Macaca mulatta: one gene and its partner. The protein of the gene in region 2 purifies or fractionates together with the protein of the main gene of each other region. This does not show direct contact. Links are inferred from orthologs where the notes say so. Each region holds a gene or a part of one and is shown on either strand. Other genes may lie near its edges.

Region 1 (3,852 bases), on a different chromosome or scaffold from region 2:
CAAATAATGGATTCAGTTTTAATGGTTATTATGAGGTAAGTGTTTTATGTCACATATATCAAATCATATTTAAAGAACCAATTGTAATTACATGGTGACTGACACTATCACAGTTATGCCTAGAATGAGGAAGAGGCTAGTTAGAAAGGACAGAGAATATTTGGGGCTTAAAGTGGTGGTAAGGAGCTTCTATTTCTTGAAATCCTTCTATCCAGTAGAGTGATAAAAGATCTTTCTTACTTGACTTACTTGCATGATTTATTAGATTAATGTAGAAGGGAGTCACAGAGGCTAGCAAATTCACCACAGTATGCCCACAGAAGCTATTTTGAAATGCATCTAATGCTCATATTATAATCTCAAACATGTCAAAAGAAGATGTTCCTTATGCTAACACACTAATACCTTCTTCCAACTAATGGTATATTTATATGTTGTGTATGTTTTTGTCTCAATTTCATTTTTATTTCCCATTTAGAGTACATTAGTTTAGGTCCAGTTTAATGTGCTCAAAAATCCATTAAATTTCTTTTAAATGTCCATATGATAGTAATATCAGTCATGCTCTGAAAAAATAAAAATAAAAAAACTTCTACCTACTAACCTGAGAGTCCAAGCCCTTCTGAATGCAATTCAATTATAGGATCAGATACAAATGAATTGTTCAATGCAATTTAACAAATAATTGTAAAAATGAATTGTTAAAAATTGAATCCTAGGCCGGGCGCTTTTGGGAGGCCGAGGCAGGCAGATCACGTGAGGTCAGGAGTTTGAGACCAGCCTGGCCAATGTGGTGAAACCCCATCTCTACTAAAAACATAAAAATTAGCTGGGCATGGTGGTGCATGCCTGTAATCCCAGCTACTCGGGCAGCTGAGGCACAAGAATCACTTGAACCCAGGACGCAGAGGTTGCAGTGAGCCAAGATTGTGCCACTGCACCCCAGCCTGGACGACAGAGTGAGACTGTGTCTCAAAAAACAAAACAAAACAAAATTGAAACCTAAAAAGCCAAAAAAACTTTAAAAACAAACTACACAAGAGTAAAAACACTTCACAGAAATATTAACAGATTTTCTTTTGTTTTAAAATTTCTTCAACTCTCAAGTTTCAGCACTAATATACAGATAGGAAAATCTAACTAATATACTAATAGGAAAATACATGAAATATAAAATTATTTCAGGCAGTAAAAATAAAGCTGTGTTTTAAAATATTTTATTTCACCAAATCATTAATTATCTCCTTAGAAGCAGGAAAAAAAATGTCACTAAGGTATACTGAGAAACTTCTATTAGTGGAATTTACATGAGAATGTTAAAATACTATTTCCTATAGCTATCCCTTAAAAACATATTCTCAAATACACTATAACATTTCTTCTTTAAGACAACAAAACTCAAAAAAAAACTCCAAAAAAAAATTCCTGTCATACCACAAAAAACAGAAATATAACTTTTGATGAGAAACGGTTGAAAAGTAAAATAAGAAAAATGAAATAGAAAAGCACATTATAGACCTTGTAATTATTGCTAGAAAATGGGCACATCATAATATCAACTTGCAATGGCTCTTATTAATGATTTAATCTATCCAATTAAGGATAACTTTATATAACACTAACAATGAAATGAGTCCCAAGAATTTTTTTACTATACCACCTATCCATTTTGAAGTCACTAAAATAAATTTTAATATTTGCTTGTTTCAAGTAGACAAGTAATTGCTAGATATAAACCTTATATCAGACCTTCTTTAATCATTATCTACCCCTCAATGTCAACTTATTAGTTTTTGTCGAATGCTAAAACGAAATTTCTGCCAGTAATAAATTCTTGAATTTTATTCACCTGAAAATTTTGAAAAATTCCAGGTCTTAGAGTTCAGTGGAAAATCAATATTGTAACAAAACTCCCAGCTACAATGACAAGGCCATCAAATATATATTTTTCATCAGCATTTTTATAGGACTTAAAAATTCTAAAAACAGAGAATCACCTGTCTGCCAGGATGGAGCCCTGAACTGTGGTAAGAGAGTAGTTCCTGAAGCAGCAGCCTGAGCAGTTCGGGATTCAGCAGTAGACAGAAAATTCATCACTGAAGACTCTTTAGTGTTACTGCTGGCACTGTTCACACTAGTATCAAATATTCCAGAAAGACCTACATTGGAAGATAAAATATATCCCAAAGTAAAAAAAAAATATGTACTTGTATAAAATTATATTCCTGACTCTATTTTAAAATTTCTGAAAATTGAGGCCAAAACATTCTACAACCCCAAATAGTTTTATTTTGATAGTAAACATATCAATTTGACCAAGCATATTTATAATTTAAAATCTCCAAAGATACATGAAAAAAGATCTTTTAATTTATTAATTATATAAATATTCCCTGTTGGTAAAAACCAAAGCTTTGGCCGGGTGCGGCAGCTCACACCTGTAATCCCAGCACTTCTGGAGGCCGAGGTGGAAGGATCACAAGGTCAGGAGTTTGAGACCAGCCTGGCCAATATGGTGAAACTCCATCTCTATTAAAAAGTACAAAAATTAGCCGGGCATGGTGGCAGGCGCCTGTAGTCCCAGCTACTCGGGAGGCTGAAGTAGGAGAATCACTTGAACCCCGGAGGTGGAGGTTGCAGTAAGCCAAGATCACGCCATTGCACTCCAGCCCGGCCAACAGAGCAGTGTCAAAAACAAAAACAAAAAACAAGCTTATACTCTCATTTCATTTCCCATGGCATGAGTATGTCCTACACATTCAGAACCCAACACATGAAAATTGGTTTTCCTTCTTATTCACTAAATGTACCCAGACTCATAGTATATTTCACAAGAGAATTGTTACCAGTAGGTTGAGGTGTGGGAGCATATCCAGGAAGCTGATGAGAGGCTGCAAAACTCTGTCTCTGAAGGAGATCTGTTTCAGAGTGTGAGGGATGTCCTTCTTCATAGCTTAAACTAGAGGACATTAAAAATCAGTGAACAAAATATACAGTCCAAACCATTTGATAAAAAAAACTTCTAGAAGAGCAACTATAAAAGTAGTAGAAACCTTTGACCAACTTCCTGACCTATAGATTAGTGGATCAAACACAGTCTGACGATACTATCACAATGGAGAAAATATATTTAAGATGCATTAGGAGAAAAATAATATACAGTATTTTCTTTAATTCAACTCTACCTCAAACAAGAGTCTTTTTACTGGGAGAGGTAATGTGGTACAGCAGAAAAAGCAATATCCTGGACAACAGAGAGCTGAATTCATTGTATAGGCTCTACTTCTGGCTTACTGTGTAATTTAAATAAGTGACTCAATTATTGTTGGACTAATTTCATCTGTATAAAAAAAGGACCAGATGAAATAACCTCCATAACCCAATTATAGTATTCTATGGAATAACAGATAATTCAAAAAAAGAATTAATACTATTTCCCAATAACTCACTGAGAAAACTTCAAGCTCAAACATTATCAGAGTAGTCCAAAACAAGATTTTTTTACCCCCTCCCCTTGGAAAGGAAAGATTATGTTTTTATTTTGAGTATTTTAAACCCATAGAAAAAATCGAAACTTCAATGAACACCCATATACCTGTCCCTTAAGATTCAACAACTATTAAGATTTTGTAACATCATTTATTTTTGTGTATACACACACACACACTTTTCTTTTTTTTTGCTAAACAACTTGAAAATAACTTGGGAGATATCATCAGGTACATCTCATAGGAACAAGGACATTCTTATATAACCAGATATCACTATTAAACACATTTAGCATTAATTCAATAATCATATAATATATAGGTCATATTCCAGTTTCCCCCATTGTTGCCAAACATCTAGAAG
Region 2 (3,558 bases):
AACCTAGTCAGGGCAGTCTGCTGAGGCACCCTGTCTTATACAAGGATCACTGGTCTCTGGGAGGGGGAGGTGTTGGTCTAAGGGAGCTGCACTCGGGTCAGCAGAGGGAGGGTCCCAGACCCTGCCAGGAGTCAAGGTGAGTACTGAGGGGACACCATTCTCCAAACGCACAGGATTCAGCCCCACCCTGCCCCTCCGTCAGCCACGGGAATTCATAGGGAACTGTGGGTAGATGGACTCCCCTCACTTCCTCTTTCCATGTCTCCTGGAGATAGGGCCTTGGTTTAAGGAAGTGGCCTCAGGTCCACAAAGGGAGGGTCCCAGGTCCTATCAGGCATCAAGATGAAGACCAAGCAGGCTCCTAACCCCAGGACACATGGACCCAGCTGAATATGGCCACCTTTTGCTGTCTTTTCTGGGAGGACCTCCGCAGTTGTGACCAGATGTGGGTCCCCTCATGTCTTCTATTTTGTATTAGGATGTAAACTTTTGATCTGAGAGTTTCTTAGACCAGCAAAGGGGCAGGGTCCAGGCTTCTCCAGGAGAAAGGTGAGAGCCCCTGTGTGAGCACAGAGGGGACTACCCACCCCAGAGTAGTGTGGAACTCACAGAGTCCAGCCCGCCCTCCTGACAACACTGGGAGGCTGGGGCTGTGCTTGCAGCCTGAACTCTGAGGGTCCCTCAGTTCCTCTTCCAGGAGCTCCAGAGACTGTGAGGTGAGGCCTTGGTCTAAGGCGGTGTTTTCAGGTCACAGAGCAGAGAGGGCCCAGACAGTGCCAGGAGTCAAGGTGAGGTGCATGCCCTGAATGTGTACCAAGGGCCCCACCTGCTCCAGGACAAAGTGGACCCCACTGCATCAACTCCAGCTACCCTACTGTCAGTCCTGGAGCCTTGGCCTCTGCTGGCTGCATCCTGAGGGAGCCATCTCTCACTTCCTTCCTCAGGTTATCAGGGGACAGGGAGACCAAGAGGTCAAGAGCTGTGGGACACCACAGAGCAGCACTGAAAGAGAAGACCTGTAAGTTGGCCTTTGTTAGAACCTCCAGAGTGTGGTTCTCAGCTGTGGCCACTTACACCCTCCCTCTCTCCCCAGGCCTGTGGGTCCCCATCGCTCAACTCCTGCCCACTCTCCCACCTGCTACCCTGATCAGAGTCATCATGCCTCGAGCTCCAAAGCGTCAGCGCTGCATGCCTGAAGAAGACCTTCAATCCCAAAGTGAGACACAGGGCCTCGAGGGTGCACAGGCTCCCCCAGCTGTGGAGGAGGATGCTTCATCATCCACTTCCACCAGCTCCTCTTTTCCATCCTCTTTTCCCTCCTCCTCCTCTTCCTCCTCCTCCTCCTCCTGCTATCCTCTAATACCAAGCACCCCAGAAGAGGTTTCTGCTGATGAAGGGACACCAAATCCTCCCCAGAGTGCTCAGATAGCCTGCTCCTCTCCCTCAGTCATTGCCTCCCTTCCATTAGACCAATCTGATGAGGGCTTCGGCAGCCAAAAGGAGGAGAGTCCAAGCACCCTACAGGCCCTGCCAGACAATGAGTCTTTACCCAGAAGTGAGATAGATGAAAAGGTGACTGATTTGGTGGAGTTCCTGCTCTCCAAGTATCAAACGAAGGAGCCGATCACAAAGGCAGAAATACTGGAGAGTGTCATAAAAAATTATGAAGAACACTTCCCCGTGGTGTTCAGTGAAGCCTCCGAGTGCATGCTGCTGGTCTTTGGCATTGATGTAAAGGAATTGGACCCCACTGGCCACTCCTTTGTCCTTGTCACCTCCCTGGGCCTCACCTATGATGGGATGCTGAGTGATGTCCAGAGCATGCCCAAGACTGGCATTCTCATACTTATCCTAAGCATAATCTTCATAGAGGGCTACTGCACCCCTGAGGAGGTCATCTGGGAAGCACTGAATATGATGGGACTGTATGATGGGATGGAGCACTTCATTTATGGGGAGCCCAGGAAGCTGCTCACCCAAGATTGGGTGCAGGAAAACTACCTGGAATACCGGCAGGTGCCTGGCAGTGATCCTGCACGGTATGAGTTCCTGTGGGGTCCAAGGGCCCATGCTGAAATTAGGAAGATGAGTCTCCTGAAATTTTTGGCCAAGGTAAATGGGAGTGATCCCAGATCCTTCCCACTGTGGTATGAGGAGGCTTTGAAAGATGAGGAAGAGAGAGCCCAGGCTAGAATTGCCACCACAGATGATACTACTGCCATGGCCAGTGCAAGTTCTAGTACTACAGGCAGCTTCTCCTACCCTGAATAAAGTAAGACAGATTCTTCACTGTGTTTTAAAAGGCACGTCAAATACCACATGATCTCACTCATATGTGGAATAAAAAAAAAAAAAGTTGATATCGTGGAAGTAGAGAGTAGAACAGTAGTTACCAGAGATTGGGGAGAGGAAGGAGAAGAGGGGCTTGGAAGCAGTTAGCCAACATGGAAAATTACATTTAAACAGGAGGAATAAATTCTAGTGTTCTGTTGTGCAGTAGGATGACTATAGTTAACATTAAGATATTGTATATTACAAAATAGCTAAAAGGAAGGCTTTTCAATATTGTCACCACAAAGAAGTGATAAACGCATGAGGTGATGGATACACTACCTGATTTGATCATTATACTACATATACATGAATCAGAACATCAAATTTTACCTCATAAATATCTACAATTGCATGTCAGTTTTTTGTTTTTGTTTTTTTTTAATTTACGAAAACAAATGAAAAGAGAAATCAATGAAGTATGTAGTGGAGGGCCAGGCTGAGGCTGAGGAAAATACAGTGCATAACGTCTTTGTCTTACTGTTCTCTTTGGATAACTTGAGAACTTCTTTTCTTTTCTTCTTGGTATTTCTTCTTCTTCCGCTTCCTCTTCCTCCTTCTCTTCTCTCTTCCCTTCTCTTCTCTTCTCTTCTCTTCTCTTCTCTTCTCTCTTCTCTCTCCTTCTCCTTCTTTTTTTTCTTTTTTTTTTTTTTAACAGAGTCTCACTCTATTGCCCCGGCAGGAGTGCCCGGGCAGTCTAAGCTCACTGCAACTTCCGCCTCCTGGGTCCTGGGTTCAAGCGATTCTCCTGCCTCAGTCTCCTGAGTAGCTGGGATTACAGGTGCGTGCCACCATACCTGGCTACTTTTTGTATTTTTTAGTAGAGATGAGGTTTCACCATGTTGGCCAGGCTGGTCTCGAACTCCTGACCTCAGGTAATTCGCCCGCCTCAGCCTCCCAAAATGCTGGGATAACAGGTGTAAGCCACTGCACCCAGCCTCTTCTTGGTATTTTAAAATGTTGTTACTTTTACTAGAGAGTTTATGAGCTTCAGAATCTAAGGTCACACATTTATTTCTGTTTATCCAGTTTAAGAAAGAGTTTTGCTATTCTGTAAAACAAATTGGGAACCCTTCGATCTTATTTGTAATCTGTAATAAAATAACATGGAACTAGAATAGTAATTTTCTTGGACATATAAAAAATAGTAAAATAGAGAAAATAATGTTAAGTGTTAGTATTTTTATTTGTTTATTATTTTTATTTTATCGTCCTGCAAAGTTAGAA

What was found.
Region 1: the proteins of MAGEA10 (region 2) and QSER1 purify together in Homo sapiens (affinity purification with mass spectrometry; 3 studies listed by BioGRID and IntAct, counting the BioPlex papers as one, with this or other methods). This does not show direct contact. The link is inferred for Macaca mulatta from reciprocal best matches to the Homo sapiens genes MAGEA10 and QSER1.

What each region holds. Positions count from the first base shown.
Region 1 is NC_133419.1:32,354,620-32,358,471, forward strand, and holds the start of QSER1 (glutamine and serine-rich protein 1), read right to left. Parts: upstream 2,847-3,852; intron 2,160-2,846; coding exon of another isoform or gene 2,095-2,159; coding exon 1,998-2,094; intron 1-1,997. UniProt on the Homo sapiens protein: Plays an essential role in the protection and maintenance of transcriptional and developmental programs.
Region 2 is NC_133426.1:158,383,347-158,386,904, reverse strand, and holds MAGEA10 (melanoma-associated antigen 10), read left to right. Parts: upstream 1-1,158; coding exon 1,159-2,271; 3' UTR 2,272-2,763; downstream 2,764-3,558. UniProt on the Homo sapiens protein: Not known, though may play a role in embryonal development and tumor transformation or aspects of tumor progression.